Xenopus tropicalis: one gene and its partners. The protein of the gene in region 3 interacts with the protein of the main gene of each other region in a pairwise test. Links are inferred from orthologs where the notes say so. Each region holds a gene or a part of one and is shown on either strand. Other genes may lie near its edges.

Evidence for each region.
Region 1: the proteins of rhebl1 (region 3) and prkab2 interact in binary tests that used the Homo sapiens proteins (3 or more experiments, as listed by UniProt). The link is inferred for Xenopus tropicalis from reciprocal best matches to the Homo sapiens genes RHEBL1 and PRKAB2.
Region 2: the proteins of rhebl1 (region 3) and txnl4a interact in a two-hybrid assay, tested with the Homo sapiens proteins (2 studies listed by BioGRID and IntAct). The link is inferred for Xenopus tropicalis from reciprocal best matches to the Homo sapiens genes RHEBL1 and TXNL4A.
Region 4: the proteins of rhebl1 (region 3) and fhl3 interact in binary tests that used the Homo sapiens proteins (3 or more experiments, as listed by UniProt). The two-hybrid records come from large-scale screens. The link is inferred for Xenopus tropicalis from reciprocal best matches to the Homo sapiens genes RHEBL1 and FHL3.

Annotation. Positions count from the first base shown.
Region 1 is NC_030680.2:118,095,761-118,103,258, reverse strand, and holds part of prkab2 (5'-AMP-activated protein kinase subunit beta-2), read right to left. Parts: intron 7,194-7,498; 5' UTR 7,179-7,193; coding exon 7,017-7,178; intron 6,730-7,016; coding exon 6,572-6,729; intron 5,661-6,571; coding exon 5,567-5,660; intron 4,316-5,566; coding exon 4,195-4,315; intron 3,388-4,194; coding exon 3,254-3,387; intron 2,456-3,253; coding exon 2,387-2,455; intron 1,408-2,386; coding exon 1,330-1,407; 3' UTR 1-1,329. UniProt on the Homo sapiens protein: Non-catalytic subunit of AMP-activated protein kinase (AMPK), an energy sensor protein kinase that plays a key role in regulating cellular energy metabolism.
Region 2 is NC_030682.2:96,971,376-96,979,388, reverse strand, and holds the start of txnl4a (thioredoxin-like protein 4A), read right to left. Parts: upstream 5,428-8,013; 5' UTR 5,415-5,427; coding exon 5,262-5,414; intron 104-5,261; coding exon 1-103. UniProt on the Homo sapiens protein: Plays a role in pre-mRNA splicing as component of the U5 snRNP and U4/U6-U5 tri-snRNP complexes that are involved in spliceosome assembly, and as component of the precatalytic spliceosome (spliceosome B complex).
Region 3 is NC_030678.2:136,445,576-136,453,794, forward strand, and holds the start of rhebl1 (GTPase RhebL1), read right to left. Parts: upstream 5,406-8,219; 5' UTR 5,334-5,405; coding exon 5,282-5,333; intron 4,340-5,281; coding exon 4,268-4,339; intron 4,186-4,267; coding exon 4,118-4,185; intron 4,036-4,117; coding exon 3,953-4,035; intron 3,634-3,952; coding exon 3,577-3,633; intron 2,223-3,576; coding exon 2,175-2,222; intron 1,372-2,174; coding exon 1,287-1,371; intron 797-1,286; coding exon 707-796; 3' UTR 1-706.
Region 4 is NC_030678.2:83,929,722-83,937,916, forward strand, and holds the start of fhl3 (four and a half LIM domains protein 3), read right to left. Parts: upstream 5,141-8,195; 5' UTR 5,030-5,140; intron 1-5,029. UniProt on the Homo sapiens protein: Recruited by SOX15 to FOXK1 promoters where it acts as a transcriptional coactivator of FOXK1.

The DNA of each region.
Region 1 (7,498 bases), on a different chromosome or scaffold from region 3:
ATTTATTGTTGGTATTTAAAGGCCCCTAAGGCCTGGAGTTGAACAGGGCAGCAAAAGCAATATCATCTTATTATTCTTTGTTTTTTAATTACAAAATGACTATTCCATATAAATAATCCCCCAGATGTTAAATATACAATAAAACACTTATTAATATGATAAAACAATGAAACAGAATTTTGAACCCTTTCTGGTTACTTGTATCCATTGAACTTACAATTGTAAAAATTTGAGCTCTGTTTTTGGCAGACATATCTAAATACATTATGTGTAAGAGTTTCTTACCCTAATATTTGTCTATGTTAGCTTACCGTCTGCCAGGAGGCACTCGGTAACAATTTTATCAGTAGATAATGGACAAAACAGGGAGTTGTCTCCCATGGTTCCACTTAAATGTGTAAATACCCAATCATTATTTAGAAATTGTTTTACATTGTAACACAATCCAATGGTAACATTAAACCTTACAAAGCAACACCTTCCAACTCTTCTTCATTAAACACTGATTACAAGTTATAAACAACAGCATAACAACGTGCAAAGAGAAATGTAACATGGGATAACAGGACAGAAGGAGCAGGACAAGTGCCACAATGTATACTAATGACACAGGTACAATTTTGTGGCTAAGGGCACTTTTAACACCATGAAATCAAGTGACAGTATTAAGAATGTTAGGTTTATAACCAGCCATTCACAGAACTGTACATGAAAGAACACTGTAGAGGTAAATACATTCTCAGATACAGACACATTTAATTAGGCGCACAACATGCTCATCTGAGTGGTGTTTGTTCTACTTTGCAAAGATACCATAACACTATGTGAGAATTAACACTTTAACTATATAAGAGACGGTTATAGGGCATTTGTAAATGTTACTTGGGGTTTTTATGTATAATTTGGTTCAAGACAGCAATGGAAGGCAACAAAATAATGTGCCATTCACCATTCCAGGACAGGTTTCAGCCAACCTTGCCATCATTTTAATCCTTTATTTAACATACTCATCAGCTTCTAGTTTTGCTAGTTCTAAAAAGTATTTGCATTTAAAGTTAAAGAGTCAGTGGTGCATAATATTGGGTGTTTGCTTATTGCATCACAGGAAGGAGTACAGACTGTGAAAATACCACTTCTTCCTGTTTAAGTCCACCTTATTTAATAAATGGACCATGAACATATAATTTTTAGCAACACTTCCCATGTGCCAACCGTACCAAGTTAGGTTTAGAACAAGTATAAAACACTGGTTCAACCTGCTCATCCATAAGGTATGTATCCGACCAATTTTATGCCACACACATAGATAGACTGACAACTGCGCCTAATCTAAATTGGCTTGTACAGTAAAGTGGTGACATACTTCTTCTTGTAGCGATGAGTCGCACTAAGAACCATTACTCCATCCTGAAAAACAAAAATCGATACATCACAGAAGGTTGGTACATTAAGTGCGTTGTGGGTCCCCAACATTTATAAGGGGAAACTATTCAGTCAGCTTAGCTTGTGATGACTATCAAATATTATTGATCAGTTACAAGATTTAAGATTAGTTTAAGATAAAAACTATAAACTGAAATATAAAAATGTATACTGCATTATTCTTGTACAGTTAACACATCCCCCATTGCATTTAACTAAGTAGTAATTCTATGAATTTGCACTTTCAAGCAATTCTGAGAATTCATGCGCTGGCTTGTAAGGCAAAAAAATCTTCCACCCGCCCGTGTCCACTACTTCCCAGCCACTTATGTTGAATAGGTAAAAGAGCGGCTGGGGAGGGAAGCAGACCCCCTGCGACCGCTGCAATCTGGGCCCCCTGCAACCGCGGGGACTGCTTCCATTATAGTGTCCAGCAGGAGTGGAGTGTGGGACTGTGTCCTGGAAGAGACTGTGCCGGGATTTGGCTTAACCACACAGGTTTTCCAGAGCAGGCTTTATTCATATTTTAGCACTACTTTGACCCACACTCTTTCGTTTATGCAACCAGCATGCATGAAATCCTATTTCTTGTGAGTTACTGTCCCAGTTTTTTTTAATAAAGGAGCAGGTAAATCACATGAAGGGGCATATTTATGAAAGTGTAAAATTAGAGCTCACCACTGTAAAATACTCCACTCTGTTTCTTCATGTGGTATTTTTAGAGGAGTATTTATCAAATGGTACATTCTAACTTTCACCTATTGATAAATACGTCTCTAAAAATCCCAATGGAATGAACAGAGAGTGGGTGAATTTTACTGTGGTAAGGTCTAATCTCACAATATTAGATTGTTAACGATATTCATGATGCTGGCAGCTAAGCTGTATGGTAGTCCTTTATACTTTTCTGCATTACTAGGGTCTGAAATATTTCCTTTAACCCCTTATTAACAGAAAACTTTACCTTTATTGACAAAGCATACAGATGGTTTAGCATGACGTGATTGGGTTCTGGAAGGAGGGCAGGATCACACTAAAATAAACATACATGTGTTAGAGAAGGTTTTAACATAACTTCATATTCAAACTTTTCATGTGTTGCAAGTCATGTCTGTACACTTAAAACACAAAATGTGTTACCAGTAGGAGCAAATGATTGTCCTCTGCTAATACTAAGAAGAATGTTAGGAATTTTAAGTAAAGAGATAAAAGAAGGGTTGAAGTGTTGTGTAACCACATACTGACCTATGGGAAATGCCAGCATTAAACATGGATTTTGTATTAAGATGTGCCCACAAAAACTGTTCTACACATTTCTCTCTTTATACTGTGGGGGCAATATAGGTGTATTGATTCTTTCAAATCTACTTTTTCAAATTTATCAGCTTAAGGGCGAGGTCAGATGAAGCTTCTCTCAGCCCTGCGCTTTTCTGCCAGGCTGAGAGAATCGGATCTGCTTCCGTAAGTTCCTCAGAGCTGAGCGGATCAGTGGTTGGTCTGGAAAATGTTGCGAAGCTGCATGCTGCCTGGCCATTATGAACACTATAAAGCATTTCTAGAGACTTTTATATGTAGCCCCATTAAAGGAAAAGTAACACTAAACATTTTTAAGTAAAAAATCTATTCTACCCTGCCCCAATAATTGCCCTATCCTGCACACCATTTATTATTTTGAATGCTTTATTAAAAAATACCTGCTAAAACTTGGCTTGCCTGCTCCTGGATTAAGGGCAATAGAAAAAATACATATTTGGATCTTAATTTCTCCAGGTAAAAGAACATTAACAAAAGCATAAAGAGCTTCTTCAAATATATAATGCTTTAAACTCACAGAGATGTTGGTGTCTTTGTTAAGTATAACTTGGAGAAGATGGGGAGGAAGGATAGGAGGTGATTTATAGCGTTCCTCTGGCTTGTAAGCATATAGTTCTTGGCCATAAAGTCCAGGAGGGGAACTTGATAAGTCTATCAAGAAACAAAATGAAAAATAATAGGTGAAAAGGGCAACAAGTCTGCATCAGATCATTATATGTAATACATTTATCTTCAGATCCACTGACAGCAAATACAGGCACTAAATCTTAATACAAAAATATTTAGAATTCTGTGTGAAATGGAATAATTTCTTCCTAAATGGACTGAGTGAAATTAAATAATTTCTCCCTAAAATATTACACCCCTTGATAATCATAGAAGGAAAGGCTAATAAAGAGTTAATCTCAAGCTGCAGGCATACCTTCAGCTCTCTCAATAGTGCCATTAAGTCTCCCCATATTTCTCCCGATCAGAAGCCAAACAGGAAGAAAAAACGCTGAGCTGTGTAAAAAAAAGTTCCCATAATGCCTCACTCCTGCACCCAGACCCAGACCGGTGTACATGCTCAGTTTGTAAGACTATGAGGAAGCTTCCTGCTGATTGGCTCAGATCCACATTCCTATGGTGGGGGAGGGAGTTCTTAGCATTCTTGAGGGAGGGGGGAGCAGGACAGGGGAGAGAGGAGAGAGCTGCATGTCTCTAGCAGAGGAAAACAGACACAAGAAATCTTTTGACAGAGAACTCAGTGCAGCGTTTCTGTGAGTGTTCATGGCTGTATTTACTAGATAGTAAGTGACCACATAGTTTATTGCTTGCAGAACATTCCTTCATTGTATATAGGCTGCCATGCTGATTGCTTCAGTTGGGTAACTAGCAACAATGCAATTGAAAGCACCAGATTACCAATGTAGAATAACAGGTTGTATTACAAACTAACAAATGAATGCCAGTTCCTACCTCTAGCTGATGTGTCAGAACTCTCCATTGAATCTAATTTTAAAGCATCAAATACTTCAAAATCCGACTTCTTAACATGGATCAAGTTGTTGATTGTACCAAGCTGGCTGGTAACCACAGGCTGAAGAGAGAATGAGACTTGCAGTGAAGCCACTGGTATAATCCTATCACTTTAACAGTCAGAACATTCTCCATATATTAGGAAAGCCTAAGAGTATGATTTAGCACTTACAAGCACTAGCTCTGTTCAAGTTGTGTAAATGGATGTGTATAATGCATAAATTTGAAACATATCTTGTTGTCTACTTTCTGTCATACAGAAAGTATCCAACAAGAGGGCACAAGCATGATTTAATTTTACCACAACAAGGCCAAGGTTAAAATGTGCAAATATATACTAGTTGTGATCAGTTCTGTATTAAAGTGATACTGACACCAGAAATTAAAACTTTTTTACATCTTTCATAACATTGTCTTTGCATGAGCTTTATAATTTTGCCATAAACATATTTCCTGAGGCTTTTACATTACCTATCTAATCCCCCATGTTTCTCTATGAGGGGGCGGCAATATTTGTGCAGCAGGAGTCTGTTAGCATTAGAAGCTATAACTGACAGGCTGAGAAGGGACAGTCAGGTTAGCAAAACAGTCGGGTTTAGGAACTTCAAGTAACAATTACTCACAAAAGCAGCCCTATCAGTGAAAAATGATCAACATGACCTATAGGTAACTTTTTATGTAGATTCATATTTTAAAAAGTAGTTTTTTCGTGTCAGTATCGCTTTAAAGGAGAAGGAAAGGCTAAGTCACTTGGGGGTGCTGAAATGTTAGGCACCCCCAAGTGACTTAGATCGCTTACCTTTTACCCCGGGCTGGTGCCCCTGTACGGAGAGAACAGCACCAGCCCGAGGTAGCAGCGAGCGCTTCCACTTCCTATTCGCTTGCGTGCGCATGCGCAGTAGAGTGAAAAGCCGAACTGAAACAAGAAAGTCGGCTTTTCACTCTACTGCGCATGCGCCGGCCCACGGATTTCGCTGGCAGAAGAAAAAGGAAGAAGGAAGCGCTTCCTGCAGGTACCCTGGGCTGGTGCTTTTTTCTCCTAACAGGGGCACCAGCCCAGGGTACAAGGTAAGCGATCTAAGTCACTTGGGGGTGCCTAACATTTTGGCACCCCCAAGTGACTTAGCCTTTCCTTCTCCTTTAAGCAGATACAGTTATGTGCAATGACACTGGGAATCATAACACACAAACTCATCATAACACAGCCAAATAAACAGTCATTCTCCCCTGTAAGCTTCTCATGTGTGGAATTTTGAGATTTAGTGTGAATGGATAGCCTTTCTAAACAAGCTACAGCTCTCCCCCGATTTACCTCAGAAGGGTCATGTACCCATTGGCCATCCACAAAAAACTTGTACTGATGCTCTCCCTCTGGAAGGTCCAAAATGGCAACAAAGTCATTGTGGCTACAAGACAAATTTAAAAATGAGAAGTTTAAACCGACAGAATGAATAACATGTAGTGAATAAAAAACCAAGTGCTTTTATACAAGTCGTGGAACTCAGTGACTATTAATATTCTTATATTTTACAACAGGGGTTACTATATTTAAGAAATTACACAAGTTTCAGCAACTTCTGTGACAGACATTACATTACTAAGCACTGATTATAACTGACAACATCAATAAGCACCATTTATAAGGATATAATACAGAAGAGCCACAAATTTCCTGTAAATTATATACTTAGAAATGGTGCTTAGTGATGTCATCAGTTAAAATCAGTGCTTAGTGATGGAGTTCCATGACCTGAATAAAAGCATGTGTCCTTGGGCCTTGTGCTTTTATGTAGTCATGGAACTCCTTGGTGACTTTTAATATCCTTATATTTTACAATAGGGGTACATTATTTACTTTATAATGTATAGTATATTCATGGCTCTTCTGTATTATAAACAAATATACACAAAAGTGCTAAGCTACAGTCTTATACAACTAAGATTTGTCTCTTAAAATGAGTATTTATTGATTATAGCTCTACAAGTCACTTATTTTCTTAGCAAGATTCAAACAAATATTTGTAGATGAAAGAGCGCACTATAGTATTAAAAGATCACATTCCCACTCCAGTCTCATATAGCTTTTAAGTTAATAAATATTTCTATAGGTATACATGCCCCTGGGCTGCTTTCATTTAAACAGGTGCCACTGTGCAAATAAAAAAGCTACCTGTTGTTAGGGAAAAAAATATTAAGCCTTCCCTGATATGTTTAAAAAGTATGACTTCTGCCCAGCTAGAGAGTTACAGGTAAGACAATCATGTAAACTAAAAAATACAAAACCAATATATGCCTATTTTTATGTAAGTTGTACTACCTTTTAATCAGTGGAATTTTGGCAGTCCAGTTGTTAAATGACCCAGATATGAAGACTTCTTTGCCACCTTCTGTCCAACGGATTACAGTGGGACGACCTTGCTGAGCTGATTTTCCAGGATCCTCTGATTCCTGGGGCCACGTTGAGTCACCAGGGTGCTGCATTGCCAAAATGTAAATTAGAAATAGATTTATAGCTCGGGAAACAATAACTTGTGGGTCTCCAGCTATTGTTGCTATCTACCTTTTGTGTCAAGGGATTTCTCAGAAATGTAGTTCAACAGCAGGAGGTCCACATATAATAAACTCTTTAGAAGAAGCACTATGGAATGTATTTTTGCATCCCTTCTAACACTAGCATTCGGGTCATAGTAAATGACCCCTATGGCATTAAAAGATCACATTCCCACTCCAGTCTCATATAGCTTTTCAGTTCATTGGAATACCTTAGATTCTTGAGTACTAAAGATATTTGGGTCGTCTGTGCTTCCAACCATGATTTTGTTTTCCTCATGCTCCTTAGTAGAGTGTCCCCCAGTTGCTCCATCTGCACGGTGGGACTTGCCATGCCGATCTCCAGATAAGCGATCACTTGCTGTGTTACCCATATTTGGCTCAGGCCACTGCAAAGCAAACAAGTTGTGGTGTAAAGTGTATTTTATATGAAGGGGAAATATGTAAGAGAGCCAAAAGTACAACTAATAAATAGGGTTAATATGGCTCAGGCTATTGTTTTAATTTTGAATCATATATCTTATTTAAGCTATGCAAAGAAAGCATGGTTTATCTTTACACAGCTTCTGTGTCTAGAAATGTGCAATGCAAGTCAATGCAAGGAGAGACAATGACCTCAGTATGATATATATCAGCCTCAGAGTGCCTGGAGTTTAAGAAATAAAAAAGAAAAATAAGCAATGGGTAACTGTAA
Region 2 (8,013 bases), on a different chromosome or scaffold from region 3:
TGAAGAAAAACATCACTGTACAAGGGTCATACAACTCATACATCTTGTTGAAGTCTGGAACTTCTGTGATATCCACAAGATAAATAACAGCAAAGTTTTTAACCTACAAAACAAAATGGAAGTAGTATATGAATGTATTTAAGTGCAACACACAATATTTCTAGAATAGATTTGCATTAAGTTTTAGCAATAAACATATATCTTATGGAAAAATGTAGTTCTGTTTATCCAGCATGCTTAGTACCGGATGATTTCTGAATAGGGGATCATTTAGTAATTTGGATCACCATACCTTAAAGCAGGGATCCCCAACCTTTTTTACTCGTGAGCCACACTCAAATGTAGTAAGAGTTGGGGAGCAACACAAGCATCATAAAAGTTCATGATGGTGCCAAATCGGGGCTAAGATTGGCTATTTGGTAGCCCCGTTGTGGACTGGCAGCCTAAATGAGGCTCTGTTTGGCAGTACAACTGGTTTTTATGCAACCAAAACTTGCCTCCAAGTGAGGAATTGAAAAATAAGCACCTTCTTTGAGGCCACTGGGAGCAACATCCAAGGGGTTGGGGAGCAACATGTTGCTCACGAACCACTGGTTGGGGATCACTGCCTTAAAGGGACAGCACACTCCCCTTTTCAACATGAGCTCAACAATTAGGGCTTGTGCTGAACAAACTTTTTGCCTATTGTTTTAAATAAGCAATATCTATGGTTTCTGTTATTTCTGGAACTAAACGAGAATATGAAGCCAGTGTCATTTTAATATTTCCTGATCCCACAGAATTTCAGAGGAGCTCATAAAACTCAGTCCACTATTTATCTTAACCTACCTAACCCTTTTTCCTTTCTGTACCCCATTTCTGCTTGAAATAAAGAATATAAAAAACTCAGTCCACTGAGAATCCCCTGTTAATGAGTTACTTAAAAAAGGGAGGGGTTTGTTTGTTCAATGGTAGACAGGGAACAAATTGCCTTTTTATAAAGTAAGTGGGGAGGTAAATACTGTGAAAATAGCCTAAAGGTGGCCATACACGGACCGATTTTTTACTTACAAACGACCGATTCCCGAACGATCCGATGCTATCGTTAAGTTATCGTATAGTTGGTGGTGTACGAACGATCGTCGGCCCACTAAACGAGCCGACATTATCGTCCCCAAAATCGATCGGCCAGGTTTAAAAATTTTGGTCGTTTAACGATAAAATCTGCCAGTTGGTGTGAGTGTCAGACATTTGTCTTTCAACGATTGTTCTCTGCGCATGTCACGATTGCCAGCAACGACATCGATCGTACGTAGATGTACGATCGTAGGTATTTTACGATAATGATGCGACAAAATCTTTCCCGAATTATCGTTGCCCGTGGATGGCATATCGTATGGGAACTCGATCGCCATACGATCGTTTGTCGATATAATCGTTCATCGCACAACGAGCGAAATCGCCTCGTGTATGGCCACCTTAACTTTCAAATTAATGCTTTATAATTACAAAAAAAAGGAAAATGTGAGGTTTTTTTTAATTTAAACAATAAGCAGACTGTAATTTCAACACAAGTCAGTGTTCATTGTTACAGTCAGTCTTACAGTGTTCATTTTAAACTTAAGTGTTTTAGGTGTATACTGTCCCTATAAGTCTACTAAAAATAAATTGAAAAATTAAATAAACCTAATAGGATTGTTTTACCACTAATATGGATCCATGCAGCTTAGTTACCTTAGCTTAGTTAAGTACAAACTACTAATTTATTATTACAGAGAAAAAGGAAACCATTTTAAACAATCACAAATGGGAATATGGGAGATGACCTTTCTGTAATTTGGAGCTATTCTCATAATGGGTCTCTAATAGTGATGTCTGGGTTGAACCCACCCGCAAATGTTTTGCTGAGGTCTGCCCAAACCAGGCCAACCCACAAGTACCGGGTCAGCCTGCACATCACTAGTTCCTAGATAAGGGATCCTTTACCCGCAGCCATATTAAATATACAGACAACCCGCCCTTAAATAGCATAGTTAACAAATCAAGATGCAAAAAAGTAAATAATGCAGTAAAATGAAATGTTTGTTGATTTAAAATTTTGGTGTTACTGATTCTTTAAGGTGTTATGACTTATTTTTTAAGTATTTATTTTTTTTTACATAAAAACAAACAATTTTGTATAGGTTTTTGAAGTTTGTATGTATTATCCAGTAGACAACCCCGATGAATTTTAAATCTGCAAAGCTATATGTTGTTTGTTAAAGGAAAAGTATTTTTTAAGTAAAAAATCTATTCTACCCTGCTCCAATAATTGCCCTATCCTGAACACCGTTTATTATTTTGAATGCTTTATTACAAAATACCTTCCAAAACTTTGCATCCGGTCATTTCAAATACAACGAACTTCCCTCTGCACAATCCACTATGCGACGATCGACATCTCCTCCTTGCCCGACTCCAAAACCGGAAGTCAATGGTTTGCCTGTACAGAAGTAAGGCTAAGAGGAGATGTCGATTATCGCATAGTGGATTGAGCAGAGGGAAGATCGCTGTATCGCCGTATTTAAAATGACCGGATGCAAAGTTTTAGAAGGTATTTTCTATTAAACAATTCAAAATAATAAAAGGTGTGCAGGATAGGGCAATTATTGGAGCAAGGTAGAATAGATTTTTTACTTTAGTACTTACTTTTTTTTTTACTTTTAGTGTTACTTTTCCTTTAATCATTTTTAGAAGCAATCAGATTAATCAGTGGTTTTCATCCAAACAGACCCCCCCCAAGGATAAATAAAATAAAAGTGATTGACTTCTGAGGATTAGAGTGTTTATTTATGTGTGTTGTGAGCATTACACAACAGCAGAGCTGCTAAGTTCTCTGGAAGCAATGCCACCAAGGGTTGTTGGCCAATCAGAGGCAAACAAAACTAACAGCATAAAGTGTGATTGCAAACAAAAGTTGTAAATGCCATCGCCACTGGACTTCAGAACAGTGGAAACACATTCTCTGGAGTGCTAAATGGCGGTTAAATACAGCTTGACACAGTTCCCCAGAAAGAAATTCAAAACTCTCAATACAACTGTATAACATTTTTACAGTTATATTTATTAAAGGGTGAGTTTTTATACAATGATAACTAATAACTAAAATGTTAACTAATCTCTAAAAATCCAAAAATAAATAAAAGAGCTGTGAAGGAGAAGATAAAAACACTGTAGTGAAGGAATACAGCACTGTACAGTCTGACTGGTAAATGTTAAAACATAACTTGTAGGAATAAAATACAAATCATACTCCCCCCCCCCCCCCCCCTTAAAAAAGATCCTTCAATCACATGGATAACTTTCTTTCACAGGCAACAGATATTAACCAAATAATGCAGCTAACTGTGCTGTCACTCAGCATCTGCCTTCATCATGACCTAGCAGGCTAATATTTCATACCAACACTGATGTAAGAACAGTCTTAAAAAAGCATAAAATATTTTGTAACTTAAAAAACAGCAACAGCCAAAAGCTTAGATACAGACAGAACACAAGTCAGCATAACAGAAATGCATATATGATGCACCATTTATCACTCGGAGCATGATCTAGCCATGTGGTAATGCACTAAGCACCTAGCTTATCTCTGCACCAGAAGAAATACCTTCAAAACAGCAGTTACGGCACCATAGATGAGGTAACAAGAAACACCATAATCAATAAACAATTTCCACACACTTAAAGGGGAATTAAACACCCCAAAAAGCAAAATACTGTACAACTGCTCAGAATACTCTTCTCAGCACTTTTACTATTTACACTGAACATTTTAAGATATAAGCACTTTGCAATAATAATATAATTTATTTGAAACCACACAGCTCCCTACTGTTCTGATCAGCTGGCCATCATAAAATGATGTTACTGAGTTACTCAGTAGGCAATATCATTGACCAAGGAAACCTCTCTGCTCAGTAACTACCTTAACAGAGCACTGCAGTTTTAAATTCATTATATCAGTGTACATTATAAAAGTGCTCAGAAGAGCATACTACCAATTTTACATTAATTTCTTTTGGGGTGTTTAGGTCCACTTTAACATTTATATTTTTATGTTCTAACTAAAAATGTAGGCAAATACCAAAATAGATATATAGTAATAACATACTTCATCACAAGATATTCGATTAATGGGCCCAGTCCTGTGATCTTCAATCACCCCAGACAGTAGACCTCGAACGCAAATACAGCAAGGCAGTGTATGTGCTTTGGGATGCCTGTGAAATAACACAGAATATACAGAATCTCGCCTTTTCTATGTTTTTTCTTTATTTCCAAACATGAAAATACTTAATCTTTGAGGTTCCATATGTAGAATCATTAGCACTCACACAACATTGGCCAAATTTGCCTTTGGGCAGTTACCCATAGCAACCAATCCATGATTGGCTTTTTCAGCTAACTGCATTTAGAACAATGAATGCAACAACTTGATTGGTTGCCATGAGTTACTATTCAAGAGCAAAGTTGCCCAGTGTTGATAAATGACCCCCACCGTTCTCAGAAAACATATGAACAAATATTCCAAGGGGCCTCAACCTACACAGCACCCTTACTTGATGGAATGATGTCACAATTTTTGCTCTTCTACCCCTCTCTCTAAACTAAGGCTCCCTGTAATGATCACCAACTAAACTGGTAAAAGAAATGATCCCCTTTTTATATAGAATAATTTACCACTAGAGCATTTCCTAGTTATTTTCTCTTAAATTTGCAAATGTATTTGAGTCGTGCATTAGCCTTTACTTTCTTCATCCTAAGTTCAAGCTGAATATGCTCCATACTCTGTTTAAAAGCGGCATCACCATAACCCTCTGTCTCCTGGTTGTGACTTTAGATCAACATGTTTCCTGTAGAGCTCCATTTTCTTATTTACACTGCTATTTGGTTAGTAGGGGTGTTGACCAAAGTAACCAGTCAGTGGTTCCAGTCACTGGCTTGAAGATAAATAGGAGAAGGCCTGAATCTATATTAATATGTATGAAAAAGACCCACTCCTGCCAAACCATTTTTAACTATGCCTTGAACCAGCTAGAGAAATCACACATGTGGGGGGTCCCCACCACTTATGTCCCCAAAGGGGGGGGCAGCTGCTGGAGGAATGCTTAGAGGCAGGTGTAGGGGATAAGGCGGCAGGCCCATACATACAGGCATCTGGACCTTCTACCTGCCTGAACCTTTTTTAATCCAAACCCACCTGACCTGCAGGTCTTCGATACACTGCTATAAATATATCTTACCTTTTCAGCTATACTGTACAAAACTTCATCCATCTTCATACAAGTTGGATCCCAGTCATGGCCAAAACGTATAACTAAAACTCTGTCTTCCTCAGACAAGATTGCCTGGTCGACCTGCCAGCCATTGTGCAAATGAGGAAGCATGTACGACATTTTGGCAGCTTTGCTTTAAAGCTAAAAGGACAAGAAAAGAAGTATTGCAAGAAATGAAACACTTTTCTCAAATGCGTGAAGATACAAACATACTCCCATCTACACTGACAGGCTAACATGCTAATACTTTCAATTAAAAATTATCTGGGCAAATTTTAAATATTTTTAATGGTTAAAGAGTCCGAAGTATCCCCCAAGATTATAGTTTACAGATGAGGATACAAATTGTAGCGTAATGCTGCTCGTAACAATCCGACATGAATCTGGGAAATGTGGGGCTGCAGTAGAGGCAGGGGGATTGCCTGAAGGCCACTTTGGGTGAGTATTGGTGCAAATTCATGTGAATCAATAGCAAGCTCCTGAGTTATACCAACAAGCTGCCCCAAAGCCTTATATATATATATATATATAGGCTACATACCACCCAACTGTGCTGATTTAACTAATACAGTCCGCAGTCCCGTACGGTTGTTTAAAAGTCTTGCGGTGCTGTTGCCGTGTAGCCCCTCGCTTCCTGCCGTACAGCGAGCCAACGCACCGCAAGTCTCATCTCGCGAGAAGGTGACGTCACATCAATACTATAAACGTGGTTACGCAGCACGTAGCTGCCTTGAGGCCAATGTCAAAGGAAGATGGAACTTGAGTTGAACATGTGCTGTTTCTTTTCTTTATATGCACAGCCCAGTAGCTGCAGCTAGAGCCTATGCCCCAACAGAACCTTTAAATTAACTAGATTAGACTAGACTATTTAAATTTAAATAGATTTAGCTTATGCCAGGCACAGGGAACAGAGAAATAAGGCTTTTAAGTTCCTGGTTGTGGTCATACCCCCCCAACTGTCCCGCTTTTTACGGCGCATCCCGCTGTCCCGGATAGTTCCATGAATGTCCCGCATTGCGGGACATTCATGGAACTATCCGGCACAGCGGGATGCGCTTGCTGTAGCCAGATGTTCTTGCTTCTTCTGCGGCTTCGTTATGCCTCTCCTTGTGCAGCGCGACAGGCCCTTTTATAAGGTTGCGCCTGTGGGTGTGACGTCATTACGCACGGAGCGCAACCTTATAAAAGGGCCTGTCGCGCTGCACAAGGAGAGGCATAACAAAGCCGCAGACGAAGGCTGCGCCTATGGGAGGTACTGTGTATTGGGGGGGGTACTGTGTATTGGGGCACTGTGTATGGGAGACTATTGTGTATGGGGGCACTGTGTATGGGGGGGCAAAACTGGTACTTAGTTATAACTCACTTATAACTGACTGCCTTCTCTCTATATTTGTATTTTAATGTAGGAGTTGCTATATTGTTTTCCTTAGGTCGTTCAGTATGAGGGTATAGCACATTTTCATCTGCGCCCGCCATTTGATCTATATAAAAGGGGTATTTTTTTAAAAATGGGGTGCAGTAATTGGGGCGTGGCCACAAAAGGGGGCGTGGTCAAAAAATTGCCGCGCTGCACACACCAAATCTTTTTGTCCCTCTTTTCATTTTTCAAATGTTGGGAGGTATGGTGGTGGTTACCAGCAAAAAGTAGTCTTCAGTTTTTAGTTGCTTTTCCTTGGTGTGTGTAGGCTATTGTATTGTGGTAACATGTAAAAACTACACATCTTTATTTTGCTGTTGAAGTAGGACTGGATTACCCATGGCCCACAGGGTACTTAACTCAAGGGGTAACTGCTGCTGCTGTGCTGAGTAGGAGTGGTTGGGGGCAGAGCAGATGCAGGCAGTTCACAGAGTCTGGGCATACCGGGTTTTTTCCATGTAGCCCGGTGGCCCAGTCCCACCCTGTTCACTTACTGGGTAGATGCCCATGTTTCTATTTCTCTATATATTTATTGCATTATTAGCCCATGACCACTTCCTGCCACACTTTAATATAGTGTTTGGCTAGGGTGGTTCTTCCTTTTTGGCCTTCGTCTCTTGACCTAGGTGAATGTATTCTAGGGAGCCTGAGATCAACACAGCGAAGCATCTAGCCCTAGAGGAGGTCAATCTCTCTAATGAAGTCAGGGAGCAAGGACCCTGTGAATGAGGAATAGTAAGAGCAGGTTGATTCTTTAATAGCACTCTAGGAAAGTGAGATAGTGAGTCATCGTTTGTAAGAGCAGCTCTTTGTGCTCCAACCAGGAGAGACAGTGGGGTGTAGTCTCCTAAAAGGCTCTGCTGCCTTAGAGAATGGACCGCAGTAGTGACGGGTATCAGGTTTAAATTATTTTCCAAGATCCAGGTCTGCTGTTGGGATCCAGGCCATTTAAGGTGGAAACCCTAATGATATTATTCTACTTGCCCTATACTGGTCCTCTGCAGTGGTGCATTATTCTGAATATGCTGCAAATCTTATGTATCTGAATACCTGCAATGATATCAAGCATTGCAGGGGAAAACAGTTGTCCCGTGCCCGGACGATGGTTGCTTTATAGGGGGCCCAGCCGTGATACAGTTTTTTAGCTCAGGTCCCCTTTAAAGAACTCCGGGCCCTGTCATGGGTTCATTGGTGGCCAGCGGGAAATTTGATTGGTTGCGCCCCATGCATCCGTACGCACAGGGCGCAACCTTATAAAATGTTAAGATGCAGCGGGGAGCTGGCACAGATCAAGAGGACGCA
Region 3 (8,219 bases):
ATCAGACATCTAGTGTAAACAGTTCATAAATGCTTCTGCCCTTTTAATCTTGAAAGGAACAGAGACACTGCAGCATTTTCAGGGATTACAATCAAAAGCCCTGACATTCTGAAAAAAGTTCATTCCCTCTTCACATTACTGCAATGGCAACCCCTCATCATCAGAGAGAGGTACTAATGAAAATAAGTATATAAATACTCTAATTCCCTCCCTTCCCTACCCCCACCCCTTAACAAATACAAGTTGTTTTTTTTTTTTACAAATAAACATAAATAGGCCCTGTAACAGGTTACACAGTCCAAAAAATCAATATATATGTACATAGCAACAGCACTGCTGCAAAGTTTGTGCAAACTGCATTATATGCATCCATAAAAAGGGCTCGATATTGTAAATTCAACTGCTGTTGCAGTCTGTGCTCGTCCATGACATAGCTACAGATTTGAAAACCAAAAAGTGAGATTAATCAGTTCAAGACTTGATAAATCATATTCCATACTGAAAGTATCAAAACGTAGGGAAGGTGTCATCTGACCCAGCAAAGGAAACATCATGTAATCTTCTGCCGTGCCAAAAAGGATTGCATTGATTGGTGCATAGGTCTGCTGCTGTAACATCACTGGGCAGAGGGATGTCACAACCACCAGGCTTCACACTTAGTTCTGCTGCTCCTCCAATCAGATGGTGCAGGAGGATAAAATTAATTTCACATGACACAGCATTTTTTCTCTTCACCAAAGGATCGCTCAACGCGGTCGATTTCCTCGATCATTTTAGTAAAGATCAGCTTACTCCTCTATAAAAACAGACAAAAAAACAGAAATTAAGTTGTGTATGAGAAATACATTGCAAATGTGCAATGAGCAGCAATAATTTTAAGGGCATCTAAGCTAAGTTGAAGGGGGTTTATTAAATTATTTTTTTTTTTTACACACCAATTCTAGCTGCATTCAGCCAAAGGAATGATTATTTAGAAACGAAAATGCTCTTTCCACTTCTATGGCCTCTTCACGCACAGAAACCTACATACACATATTATATAGTCTGCCATACACAGGAAGATTTTAGCTCCCAATATGGGTTCAGGCTGATCCGGCAGCTTATCCGCCCATGTATTGGCACCCCTGACGTGCCTGCCCGACCAACATCTCGCCTAAAACTAGCCAGGTCTCGATGGGGCAGGTTTAATTTTCCCACCAGATTAGGGACAGCATCAGTTTGTTTATGTGGCCCTTGGTTATAAGGCGCCTACGCCTAAGAAAGCATGTAAATAGTTACCAATTTACCTCAGGGTCTTTTGCTGAAACTTCCAGGAATGCAGCTCCCCAAGACTCTGCTAGTTTTTTCCCATCTTCTGGTTTCACTTCACGGCTACTCAAAAATAGGTTAAGAAAAAAAAAGTTACAAAAAAAACTTCTCAGATCAGAACTCAAAGCAAAACATCAGCAGTACTAGTAATTCAGCTATACCATGTGACATGCCATGTAGTTTAGTAATCAAAAGAGTTGATTCACTTGTATTGGCTTTACAGTGACCCTATTTTTTGCAACACAGTAGCCATAGGAGTTATTAAAGGGGTGGTTCACCTATAAGTGAACTTTGAAGATAATGTAGACATTCAAATTATATGACAATTTGCAATTGTTTTTCATATGGTTTCTTAATTATGCATGAGTACAGTTTATCCTAGTGATCAAGCAGTGGTTTAAATGAGAGACTGGCATATGAATATCAGAGGGACTGAATAGAAAGATAAAGAATAGAAAAGATTGTTTTGGCTGCTGGGGTCAGTTCCCTCCTCCCATATGATAGCTGGAAAGAGGCAGAAGAAGAAAGACTAATAATTCAGAAACTACAAAAAAAAATGAAAATGAGGACAAACTGAAAAGTTGCTAAGAATAACACATTCTATAACACAGTAAAATGTAACTTGACACAGCAGGATCAAAGACAATGGCGACCAAAGGGTGACCTGTATTGTTGGCAGCGCACTGATGTGGAAAAATGCATCATACATAGCCTATATGCACTAGCTGCTTACACCTCAGGACAGACCTTAGACACTTGAAAAACAAAAATCATCACTATAACCAAAACACGAGTGGGATTTTACTGAAAAATATATCAAAAACTAAATTAAATATTCAAAATAATTGAGTAATTTGAAAGCATACCAGTGAGTTGGCAGATCATTCTTATTCCCAACAAGGACTATAGGCATGCTGTAAAGAAAAAAGGAAAACATTAAAAATATTAAATTAGCAAACATATCTATATAAAATTCATGAAGTTTTCATGATATAAAATTTTACCAATCACCTAAAGCTATATTTGTTCAGGTGCAGATGCAGAAACACATTGCTTCAAGGAAACTTGTTGCTTCAAGGCATTTGGCTTCACAAGGGCAAACTGTGATGTTGGGGAAGTACTTAGTAAAGGTGGCCATACACGAGGCGATTTCGCTCGTTGTGCGATGAACGATTATATCGACAAACGATCGTATGGCGATCGAGTTCCCATACGATATGCCATCCACGGGCAACGATAATTCGGGAAAGATTTTGTCGCATCATTATCGTAAAATACCTACGATCGTACATCTACGTACGATCGATGTCGTTGACTTCCGCTGCTGGCAATCGTGACATGCGCAGAGAACAATCGTTGAAAGACAAATGTCTGACACTCACACCAACTGGCAGATTTTATCGTTAAACGACCAAAATTTTTAAACCTGGCCGATCGATTTTGGGGACGATAATGTCGGCTCGTTTAGTGGGCCGACGATCGTTCGTACACCACCAACTATACGATAACTTAACGATAGCATCGGATCGTTCGGGAATCGGTCGTTTGTAAGTAAAAAATCGGTCCGTGTATGGCCACCTTAAGTCTTACATGTATGGAGAAGTCACCAAAATACACATCTTTGTCTGGGAGATTAGTCACCCACAGTTACATCCTGGCTCCTGCAGTCAACATGCCTTTCTACCAGCAATAAAGTTAATCATCGGTGGGAAGGCATATACAACACTCCAAAGTTGTGTAAAGTTTTCTTTGATTTTTGTATATAATCTATATGTTCGATAGTGATGTGTGGGTCAACCTACACCTGACTCTAACCCGCCTGATTCACATCCACACCCAACCCTAACCCTGCGAGTCTCGGCATTTATAAACCAAAGTCTGACGTGCCCCTTTCTGATGTCAAAAAATGGGCGGGACATTCAGGTGAGGATCTATAAATAGTGAGTTCTCAGGGCTGAAGGGGGGCATAGTATGATCGCAGGCAGGAAGGGAGCATGGAACCCATCCAAAAGCTGTATGGATGTTGGCCTGAACCCACCTGACCCATGGGTAAGCCCAGGGCTGCTCCTGCCATGAGCCAAATTTTTGTCTTTTAAAACAAAATCTCTACTGGGTAACCTATGGCTACTGCGGGTTTCAGGCTGGCTCACACATCACTAAATGTTCGATATATACCATCTTTATTTGAACAGTGCTGTAAAATATGTCAGTACTTATGGTATAATTAGGAAACTAGGGGATGTTAAAAAAAAAAATATCAATACTTACAGGCACTTCCCTCTCCTGTCCACAAGAATGCTATGAATGGCACGTGCTATCTGAAAGCTGAGAGTAAAGAATTTTAATTAAAATCAAGAACTACATCAAACACCTTTTTAAAAATGCTGGGAGTTATAGATGCATATTTATTAACAGTAATTATCAAAAGAGCTAAAAGAAAATGATCTTGTAATTCACAATTTGTTTATATTTATATTATAGTTTGTTTTTAAAATTTTCTTTTGCTAACAGCTTAACAGAGTAGGAGTAACTATGTTTGACAACCCTGTATCACACTTGTCTATCTGGCAATTACCTTCAGTCATCAGTAGGTGGCGCACTCTCTCAATATATAACAGTCAAAAAAAAAAAAAAAAGAGCTTACCTTCTGGAGCATGCCACTGAGTATACTACAATGTATCCATGGATCCCAAAAATAAATGACTGAGGCAACAAAGAGTATTCGTCCTTAAAACAAAAAATGACAAAGGTTAGTTTGCTGTTGAACAATAGGATGTGAAAAAGCTCCTAAAAGTGGAAAACAACTCACCTGCCCTGCTGTGTCCACCACATCCAACTCAAACTCATCACTCCCCATAACAAAGGTCTTGCTCCAAGCTGCAGGGAGAGGGAATTCATTACTATGGGGGTAGAATATACAGGCAGCCAGTCAGGGATCTCAGCACAGACTTTCACTTACTGTTTTCAATGGTAGGCTCATAGTCCTTAGGAAAATCTCCTTTAATAAACTGAAGTGCAAGGGAAGATTTGCCTTGAAGAAACAAAATGAAAATATTAAAAGAATGCATTACACACATATAAAAGAAGTAATGACAAGCCCTGCGTCATATCTACTGCTACTATCAGCACCACTGCATTATCTTTCAAGTCATCTGGTAACACCCATGAGAATGAACAGCCAAATCACAGGGATTAAAGAACAAGCTGAGCAGAAAATCCACTTTACACAGATAACTCAGTGAGCTCCTTCCCCCCCACCCAAGTGATTGTGGAGCTGATAGAGTGTGTGAAACAGGACTGGCAGCTGTGTTTGGCCAGGTGCACTTAGCATGGAGATAGCCCTACTGAATCACTGCCTCATACACGTTGCGCAGAGTCATCAGGAAACAGAGCCATGTGCCTGGAACAATCCTGCTAGTACCCCACCCCCACCCATTAACAAAACATGTCAGCCGAGCCCATCCACAGAAACCCCCCCTCCCCCCTGCTCAGGGAAGCACTACTACACACCATCGTCACCACAACACACACACACTGGCCGCCGGTCAACCAAATCGCGCAGGAAATGCTATTACATAATACATTTTTGTATTGCTTTCTGCCTATCTGATGCACAATACAAAAGAATTGATGTCAAATCTCTAGTTACCCCACTATCTCCTTATAGCCTCACACTCCGACCCTGGTAGATCACCAGCAGTTCCCTCCCTAGTGTAACACTAGCACATCCACAGTAGTACTCCCACATCGCACTGCACGCAGTGTTACTTTTTATTCATTTAATTAGACACACAAATGCCAATATACTGGATAACAAGACTTTGGTTCCGCAGGGGACAGTGGGAACTGTAGTTCCCGGGTTCCCCATAAACTGTGATGTTCATCTTTGCAATGTAACTTATCCCCACCCGTAGGTGCCAGCTCCACAGCATGCAACTGTCTGTACTGCACCAAATAGAGGGGTAGCACTTACCTACTGAAGGGTACCCCAACATCACAATCTTGCGGTGTTTGACAGGCGCCATGACGATTAAGAACAAAACAAAATCCGAAATACGGACTTCCACCCTATGGAAACCAAAAATCCCAAAACAAATGCCTGCACTCTGCGACCCCTTGGAATATAGCCAAATCCTCCGCACACAGATCAAATACACGGGTTGTAGCAGGCTAGCCCCGCCCGCCTATGCTGTACGCCAATCAGTGGAGTGGAAAATTGGGTACGTGATCTGGATTGGCCAGGTTTCCCCCGCGAGTTCCAATGAAAGGCAAGCAGACGCTAAGGCGCGTTTATTCATTGTTTGGGTTGCGACGGAGGAATGTGGAGAATTCGGCTCTTCTGATTGGCGCTTTCTATTTCGGAGTGGGTTGGGCTTAGCACGCAGGAAACATGGAAACAAACTCACGTGTTGCCTTCTCTGGCTCCCGGTAGCTGCTAGGGGTGCGACACACGGGCAAGCCCTTCTCTGGCTCCCGGTAGCTGCTAGGGGTGCGACACACGGGCAAGCCCTTCTCTGGCTCCCGGTAGCTGCTAGGGGTGCGACACACGGGCAAGCCCTTCTCTGGCTCCCGGTAGCTGCTAGGGGTGCGACACACGGGCAAGCCCTTCTCTGGCTCCCGGTAGTTGCTAGGGGTGCGACACACGGGCAAGCCCTTCTCTGGCTCCCGGTAGTTGCTAGGGGTGCGACACACGGGCAAGCCCTTCTCTGGCTCCCGGTAGCTGCTAGGGGTGCGACACACGGGCAAGCCCTTCTCTGGCTCCCGGTAGCTGCTAGGGGTGCGACACACGGGCAAGCCCTTCTCTGGCTCCCGGTAGCTACTAGGGGTGCGACACACGGGCAAGCAAGTATTTAGGTTCGTAAAAGAAAACGCCGTGAGCAGCTGCTGACTTATAGCACAGGGAATCCTTGGTCTTTGTCCAAAACCAGAAGCGACCGTGTATTTATTTGTGAGGCCAAAGGGGAAATTCTCTCTTGAATTAAGGGGCATTCTGGAACCTGTGCTATATAGCCTTAAATAGTTATCATTTACTCTCTCCATTTGTTTCACATCAGCTCAGTTGTTTGTAAATAAAACAAATACAATTATTTCAAAATTAGAATATACTCCTTTAATCTGTGGGTGTTACCCTGCCAAAGTGTGGTAATTTACAGCAATTAATGCATGCGGTTATTTTCTAAACTGGATTTGGCTGATTAAAGCTAATTGGCTGCCGGTGATTGGCAGCACAGGTGATCTGTACCGACTGTGTTAGTAATTAAGGCCTGGTACGTCTTCAATGATGCTGTCTCATTAAAGTGTTTATAATTTGTAGAAACCCATTTTTGGCTTCTGATCTGAGCCATAGGCTATGGAAAAAAAGGTCAGTAAGGTCTATGGTGACTTTAAAGCAAGTTCTATGTGTCTTATCCTCCCCCTCATTGTCCACTTTAGATTGAGTAATGTACCTGGGCAGTTGGGCTACTAGTGTGTAGGACTGTCTGTATGCATGGACACTAAACTATAGAAAAAAAAAAAACAGGAGGAAGGAGAACCAAAATTCAGTTTTTGTGGTTAATGTTGCTTTGCAACAGCTTTTGCTGTGATTTAGCCTGACGGTGAGAATTAATGTTTTATAAAGAAGTTGAAAATGTTTTGTTGTATCATTCAAGAGATATTTTAAAGCTCTGGCATTTGAGGATGTAGAGTGTGTGCTTCTAATTAGAAATTAATGGAATTTCCAGTAAGCAGACACATATGGGGGGAGGGGATAGTTGGAATGTTTGAACTAGTTCATTGTCCCACTACTTTGGGACCAGGGTCTCCTTAGCTGTCAGGGGTCTATTATGAGCAATGACTTCTCAAGCAAGGGCCAGCCTTTAGTTCCACTGCTGGATAAACGCATCTTTATATTTTGCTCCTGGCTAATAAAATCTGGATACAAGTCTCCATTTTGTATTTTTTTGGAATGCCATGAAACTATAGTAGGTTGTTCCAAATAATAGTTTATCACATGGAAGCCTTTCTGGTATAGATCCCTTTACCCTGTAAAGGTCCAGTATCCTCCTTCTTGGTAGGTCTTATTAGGGTCACGGTGCACAGAAAATGTACTTCTCTTTCACCCTGTTTTAAGCTTGTTGCTATTGACCCAACACACCAAATTCTACATATGTTTGGTGACTGTCTAATATGAGCATGTGCACATAAACATGTTTTAAATATGTTGTCACTTTTTTTTTTTATCTTATTACTTGTGTAATTGTCTTTAGAGAATCCATACTTAATGAGCATGGTTTTAAGACTACTCAACAAATCTGCTTGAACTATTACTGCACCAGAAGGAGTGTCTAGAAGATCCAGAGAATACCCCATGAAAATTGTTTCTAGTGCCTAACCAGCCAAAACATCTTTAGCTCAAATCTGGCTTTGACTTTTTTTTTTTAATCTGTGTATACTTCCCTCTAACTGATAACTAGTTAAGGCAAACCCTGTGTTTTTTGGTCCATTCTGCAAATTTATTTAACACTCAAGCAGCAAAATGCCTAGAATTACACCTTATGCCGTTGCTCTAAGACTGTCCTGATAAGAGGTAATTCTGTAAATTACATATCATCTCCCCATAAAGTTAAACATGCCACACCATTTCCTATGTAAATTACTTCCCTTCTAGTCCATTCTTTTAGTAAAGATTAAAACACCCTTTGCCATTGTTGCCTTTCAGTAAGGAGCTCCTATTTTGTAGTTTCCTGGCAGTGAAAAAGAAGTTACAGGACAGATCTATAAGTATCTGTCTTGTCAGTAAATGTAGTGGGTGTAGAAGGTTTAAGCATTTACACAGCTGACAGTGATCATAGCTGTAAGGTGAGATGGTCTGATCACATACTGTAAAATCTTTAGCAAAAGGTTACTTCCATGGAGGTTCCAAGGAGTAT
Region 4 (8,195 bases), about 53 Mb from region 3:
TCCTATACCTGTACTGCTATTATAATTAATATCTATAAATTTAAGAACAGAGGTAATAATTAGCTACACAGCTACCTTCAGCTAACACAATGCGGTTCTGTCAGGTAAGTACAGGTATAGGACCCATTATCCAGAATGCTCGGGACCAAGGGTATTCCGGATAAGGGGTCTTTCCGTAATTTGGATCTTCATGCCTTAAGTCTACTAAAAAATGAATAAAACATTAATTAAATCCAATAGGATTGTTTTGCATCCAATAAGGATTAATTATATCTTAGTTGGGATCAAATACAAGGTACAGTTTTATTATTACAGAGAAAAAGGAAATCAATTTTAAAAATCCTAATTATTTGATTATAATGGAGTCTATGGGAGACAGGCTTTCCGTAATTCGGAGCTTTCTGGATAATGGGTTTCCGGATAAGGGGTCCGATACCTGTATATGTAAAAAAAAAAAAATATGTCACCAAAAAATGTTAGTCTATGTAGCTTAGATAACATTTAGTTACAGGCATTTTCACATGTTGTATCTGCATGGCATCTTAAAGGTCACATTTCCTCCCTGCATGATATGTGGAACATATGGTGTTTTGACCACTACTGTTCTTGGGGAGAACCATGGTATTCAAAATGCCTTTCCTTATTTGCAGCAGCATCCCATTATCTCATTCAAAATAATGGGAAATTCACTGTATCAGACACTGGCCTTGTCAGGCAAGGATTGCTTGGGAATGATGAAGATCAGAACTGGCATAATCATTTAACATCACAGTTGTGGTTATTTTGCAGAAAACCATGCATATCTTTTTTTAAATTCACCAAAACGTTCTTTTTCAATTGGCCGCAATCTTAATGACTTTACTCCTGCCCGTAACAGGGAGAACTGTGTAAAGGATACTTTCAGCAATTATTTAAAAAACTAAACAAAAAAAATTTTGATTCTTTTTCAGCAAAATAGCTGTAGTGGTTGGCATTGGGCAACTGTGTCCACTGATTGGGCAACTGTGTGCTGGATGAAATTCTGCCTTATCATCAATTTGTCTCATTCTTCCCCCCTCCCATCAATGACAGTGAAAAGCAAGAGGACAAAGATAGGTTTGTTCTGCACATTTGCCAATCGCCGACTACAGAGCAACAATTGGAGGGAAAGTATGCTATTACATAACTTGAATCTGCAAAAAAAACCTTGCTTTTGCAAAGGAAAATAGGGTATTATTTCATCCGGAGACTACAATGAAAATAGTACCCCTAAAATACACGTGACCATGAAAAATTGAGATCTCTTAAAAAGTAGCCTTGTGTTACTCAGGAAGAAAAGCCACTCTCTGTCTGTAATCTCATCTGGGCTACTGTACCACGGACAGGAAATTGCCTGTTGCAGGAAGTGTGTGTGGCACAGGCTTAATAACTGAACTCAATGGAGAAAGAGTGGTTGCCAGTGTACACACCACTGGGACTCTGAGACTGACTGGAATTCTAACTCAAAACATCTGTGTGCTAGAAAGATGCCCAGTCCTACTCATGAATGAGTCAGATATCACTTGTTTTTTAGATATATTTTCCAGTCTTGTTGCTAAGGCCATGCAACAGTAACCATAATAACAAAGACACAAAATTTACTGTTGGGCAGTACCTTAATGAGGTCTGGAAGAAAATATTATACTGCATCATCTTGAACACTGACAAGTATTTCTGTCCATGACCCCCAATGCCCTTACTAACCCTTATTTAATCTCTTTTGGTTGACATTTCTTGGGTTATCAGCAGGGTGATAGCTTCTCATCTTTCAGTGACCTCTACTCCCGTACCAGTTGGATTGGGAAATAGTTTTTAGAATCCCAATATCTGTTTAGGTGACCTCTGCAAAGAGGGTGGACAAAAACACTTCTCATGTTTCCAGATGATACCAAAAGATTGGAATTTGTAAATATACAATAACGAAAATGGCCTGACAAATCCCAGAAGTCAGGTAGCCATGTTACCTAAATTTTCACTCTGGCTCTCAAAGTTTTGGGTGTTTTATATGACTATTGCGAAACACTATCAAAAAGTCACTGGAAAACCATTATGGAAGGGTAAACTATAAGTGAGTGTTAGCTGAGACACTCACAGCTCAAGCTTTATGTAGTAACAATATTCTGCCTGGCACAGTTTTATTGCTGAGCAAATGGAGCATCTTATCTGCTTTACCAGCTATATGCCAATACATCATCACAGTGGACCAGATAAGTAATTTCTGACAAACTTGATATTTTGACATCATCAATAACATCCAGAGCTTGCCAAATGGTTTTGGGTTATAGTTTGGTCCTTTCTGATTCAAGCTACATCATACAGTTCCATGACAGGGATTTAGTTGCTGTGAGGTCCTAACTTTCCTAAAAAAAGCTAATATCTGACACTGACTGCATACTATATTATCCGATATGCACCATTATCAAACAAACTTGGACATTATAGAAACACAGGTGAAAATTTGCTTGGAAACAGTAACTTATAACAATCAATCACATACATGCCTTCCTTATTCTAACTGTACTTGTACAGTGTAACCTAACTGCTAAAAGACAAACTTGTTCCCATTTTGTCCTTACAGGTTTTCTCTACAATCAACCATTATTCTTACTTAGTCTTACATACTGAATCCTTTCATGTGTGTTTTGGACCACCATTTATTCTGCTTTTTCTTTTGATAAATAAGACATCATAGTCAGTGTGATATGAATATCCACTCAAAAAGTCATTGTAGATTCTGTAGTGTCTTTCACTATCTGACCAGTGTCTCATTTACTTCTTCAGTCAGGCCCAAAGCTTATAGAGTAGTGTTAAGTTTTCCATAAAGATGTTACTTTATTTATTTTTTTTACTTTATTTACCCTTCCTGGAGCATATCGCTCAACCGGATATAGCACAGTGACAGCTAAAAATTCCATATACACATTTTTACCCAACTTCTAAGTGACAGACAGCTGCAAGAAAAAAATCTAAAATATTAGTAGACAGGTTAATGTCTCTTAGTAGTAGCATTCTTTATTTATATAGTACCACATGCAAAGGCTGGACCCCCTGCATGGCAGGGGTGCCAACCACTGTGCTACCATGCCGCCCTAAGCTGTAGGATATTCCGGTAAAATTATTTTACTTTAAGCAATGGTCTTGATTAATTATGTGACCAACTGGATAGCCACAGAATCATCTAGTGTATGGTCACCTCTGTACATCTTATTTCTTCAAAGTACTTGTATGCTGTGTTTGAAAAATACAAAGCCTAAGCAATGAAACTCACTCATGCATGGATCCCTTCCTTTGTCCAAGGACTTGGTTGATTGTTGTGTATATAATGGATTATATATGTGATGGCATAATGTATTCCACAACGTATGGTGCAAGAGACCTTCTAAAGAGGAAGGCTTTATCTCGGCACTGGGTGATCTATCTATAAAATGAATTTCGTCATCCAGTTCTTATGAGTTTATACATGTCAGCAGCAAGAGCGAAGCAAAAAAATCATTAACGTATTTTTATACAGTATATTTTGGCAGCTTGCCGGCAGACTTTCTCTTTGGATTGAACAGAGCTCCCCCTGTCTGTGTTTCTATGCAAATACTCACATTCTAATACATTTTCATCAGTCAGAAATATGAAGTAGCATCTTTACCACCTGATATGTTTTCTGTCTTAGAACAGCTCCAGTTTATACATACAAATTTTAAACATGGTTTTGCTTGCTTTGCTCAGTTAACAATTCTTGTCTTCTGTTTCAATTTAATTAAATACAGGTTCTGATTATGTATCATTTATGTACTATCCCAGACACAATACAGCTATTTCTTTCTGTCAGTATGGAAGTTATGAGATTCACATGAGTACCATCAAGTACACCTATCCATACAAATATAAATGGGGTCAATAGCAGTTTTCTTTGTCCCAAATATACAGTATTTGGCATACATTAAAACTGTTTTTAGCAATAAATATTCATACAATAATTACATATCAGACAACTCTTCCTACAAAATGTATACTCTGATAACTCATTAAAGACTGCAGTTATTCCCACTCTACTCTTTTAGAAGTGTTTAATAATGGCAATACAAACAAAAAAGCTTGCTATTTTATTAGCAATTTTATGTTTCTCATAATTCTTAGCTGAGCTGTATTTTATATCTTGCACTAAATGTATTAAAATTAACATGTACTGCAACTGGCACAGAAGACCCAAAAAGAGAACAAACAATACAGCAAAAACAGTAAGCATAACACTTGTAGGTATGTTGGTGTTTGTATGTAAGAATATATATTTTGATTAAAATTATATATACATATATATACATACATGCAAAGATTTCTACAGATAGCGCACCTATAGCTACAGTTTATACTACATGCAACAGGCAGAGGACTTTACTATCACAGCTTAACATTCATCACAAATACTTTTTTTAAACAGGAAACCCAGAGGTCATTGACTCTGATGATCAGAACAGCGCTTTGCTTACCAGTGCCTACAGAACATACTGTCTTTAAAATTCCAATTAAATTTAATTAGGAGCAGATAGGGGCTTTTGAAAAATGAACTGTTCATTTTTTTTAATCTGTTCATCAATATGGGTTTTAAACACCCAGCTGAATTAAGCAGGGTATGAGCAATACAATTCTAGTATCATACCACAGAACAATGCCCAAACTTAGGGTCCAGCACAGGAGTCAGACACAGACATACACAGACAGATGATACTTCTAATAATACCCAGTCTGTAGTTAAACCTGACACTTGATGGTTTAGAATTTCGTGAAACAAAAGCCAAATACCAGAGGAAGCTCCGTTTTCAACAATAGAATCAGAACGATAGTAGAAGGCACCGAGCTCGGCGTTACTACAGCAAATAAAATAAAGGGAACTTTAAGCGTGCATAGAACAGTGCTGCCGGGGGTTAATAAAGTGCAGCCCTTAGCAAAGGCACAAGAAATGCAAAAGCACAAAGCTCTATAAATGAGATATGATGAGAAAATAAAGCTTACGAATTACCTTTTATTTCTTGAGTTCCAAAAGGCAGATGCAGGAATGCAGGCAGCAGTGAAGCAGATGAGATGCAGAGAAGCACGCTCAGCGCTGGCTGACACACAGTACAGTACCGATCACTTACTCACAGAGGAAATGACTAACTCCCAGGACTAGCCCTAATTCCTAAGGTACGCTTTATTAGCATAGGAAAGTCACGCCCACCCCGCTCTGTGCTCTGGGATAGGGCGGGGCTTGGAGGAGTGACAATGACCAGTCTAGTACCTGGCTCGAAAATCTCGGCCAGCTGTAACCCCTTGACTGCTGGATAGAGCAGCAGCTAATTGGCTAAAAACTTGGAGCTAGCTGTAGAGAGGTGAAATAAGTGTATAGAGGATATACATTATATTTATAGTTAAACAAATTACGTGCAAGTTACAGCTCTTTAAGCGCAGTGCTGTCTGTATTCGTTGGCCAGTGCAGTCCAATAGGAAGCGGCCTGCTAGCCGCTCTGCTATCCAACAACTGAAGTGTAGTCGCATCCTGTTGCAGCGGATAAGAATGTTGTCAAATATCACCCTGACGAGCAAGCTTTATAGGCTCTTACAATCTACATAGGGCTCATTTCGCAATAGGCAAAGTGCAAAATTAGGACACAAATCACGGTTTTGTGCTTTTTGCAGAATTCTAAAATTATTATTGCCTGTTAAATAGGATGTGCCTCAACTTGTCTTCAGTATGTCAAAATAAAAAGCATTTCTCAGTGCTAACGGTGCAATTCAATTAAATGCAAAGTAGTTGGGTACAAACCCCCATATGTATCTTTTCTTTTTAACATAGTATATGCTATCTGCTCCTGGGGAAATGACTCCATTCAGCCCCAGCATCATTTCATTTTACCTAGAGCATGGATCCCCAACCTTTTATACCTGTGAGCCACATTCAAATGGAAAAAGTTTTGGAGAGCAACACAAGCATGAAAAAAGTTCCCGGTGGTGCCAATGAGTGCTATAATTGGCTATTTGATAGCCCCTCTGGTGACTGTAAGCATACAGAAGGCTCTGTTTGGCAATTACACTGGGTGTTTATATAACCAAAGCTTGTCTCCTAACCAGAAATTAAAAAAATAAGCACCTGCTTTGAGGCCACTGGGAGCAACATCCAAGGGGTTGGGGAGCAACATGTTGCTCATGAGCCACTGGTTGGGGATCACTGACCTAGAGTATGCCCACTCCAGACAATCTGTGGGTTCAGGCAAATGAGGGGCTGCTCCAAGATGCCATAGAAAATCACTATTTAGTGGGCAGGTGGGGCTGTTTGGGCCTCTGCACTTAGATTGCCAGGGCTTAATTTGACTCCCAGACATGGCCCACTCCCATTACAAGCCCACCCCTTTGTGACCCATGATCGGACCTTCAAATGTCTCAGGGACCCCCTATGCTATAGGGCCCTTGACTGGACTCCCCACTGCCCCTCCCTGATGGCAGCCCTTGTCCAGTGCACTATGAACTTGAGCTCAGTTAGTTCAGGATGAAATAGTATATTGCCATGTTCAGGAAAGTATATTTTGGTTAGAGGTCTTCTTGTATTTGGAGCATCAGTCCTCATGGCTACTAAACAGAAATACAAAAAAACAAAAATATATTAAGCTTAGTGTAAGAAGTATTAATACTAAAAAGAGTATTATTTTTCCATAAGCATGCACTTCTAAAAGCTTAGTAGACATCATAGTACAGTCTTATTATTACATAAAAAAGCAAGTCAGTCAAGAATTTATTTTTAAATAGGCATAGGCATATGACATGTTTTAGAGCTTCCCAGATAACAGATCTGGGTAAAACCAACAAATTGTTATTGGTGTGTAGCTGAAGAGACCAGTACAGCAACACTGTTATGAAGGCTTTATGTCCCTTGAAAAATAAATGAAGACTATAAATACAAACTATGAAATATAATACCATTGTGCTTGGGCATTTGTATAGCTTCATGATCAGAGCACTTTCTTGAAAGGTAATTTATCATTAGAAAATGTGGCAAACAGCATTTTGCATAATCAATTTTCTCTTCTTTGTCAAGAAATTGTACTTGTGCTTTTAAGTGTTTGCTGTTCAAAGTCAGTGGCATTTTGTCCCCTGCCTATGGAGCTAGAAAACAGAGCGACAAATCTCCATTGTCGCAGGCGATTAATGTCCCCGCAATGCCATCTCACTGGCTAGAATGTAAATCACTGGTGGGATGGCATACGCGGTGTGGAGATTTGCCTAAGTCGCCCAAAGTTTCCAATCAAGGCAACTTCGGCGACTTCGGCAAATCGCGGCACCGCGTATGCCATCCCACCGGCTAGAATGTGAATCGCCGGTGGGATGGCATACGCGGTGCCGTGATTTGCCGAATTGCGGGGGGGACTAATCTCCCCGTGTACCCTCTTAAACAATGCCAAATGCCCTACTTGAGGCTGATGGCAAAAGGGGCTTTTTCTCTGCATCTTTCAGCTGATGTTTCCTATACCAGAAAACTGGAAGCATCAGTGACTTTGGCCACTTATCAACCAAAAACGTCTGTGTGTAACTACATTACCCTAGATGTAATTAAACATGGCAATATATTGGTTACTCCTGACCTAGTGACATGGGTATGTGAAAAAAGCATGGCCTACCCAATCAATATCTTATCAGAAAGGTAGGAACATAACATACAAGAGTGCATTGGACTATGCAATTGTCTCGTTACAGATATGCACAGAGTCCCATGTAAAATGTCCCAGGTACCAAGTGATTAAATCCAACCAATTAAAAACAAAAAATTTGTGGCTAAATTGGGCAAAGATCTGCTCAATTGGCCACTGTGACCGAACATAAAACAATATGGATATAATGCTGTTTAGATATTTGACAACAGGAAAAATTAAAGCGTGAACAAAGAACAGGAAGTCATGTGTAGACAGAGCAAGCAGAATCCTCACTAGAGTTTCCTCTTGCATTCATTAGGTCACGAGATTACAAAGCAAAGAAAAAACCTTATAAGCAGTTCTACTATAGTGATTTAATCTGTATGGTGCTGGACTACAGTGCCCAGCATGCTTTAACCCATGATAATATGTCTAAGTATGCAGGATGCTACAGTATAATCTAGAAGCATTTGCTTAACCAATGATGCCTCTTTTTAAGATGAGCATTTTTGCTAAACCTTAGAC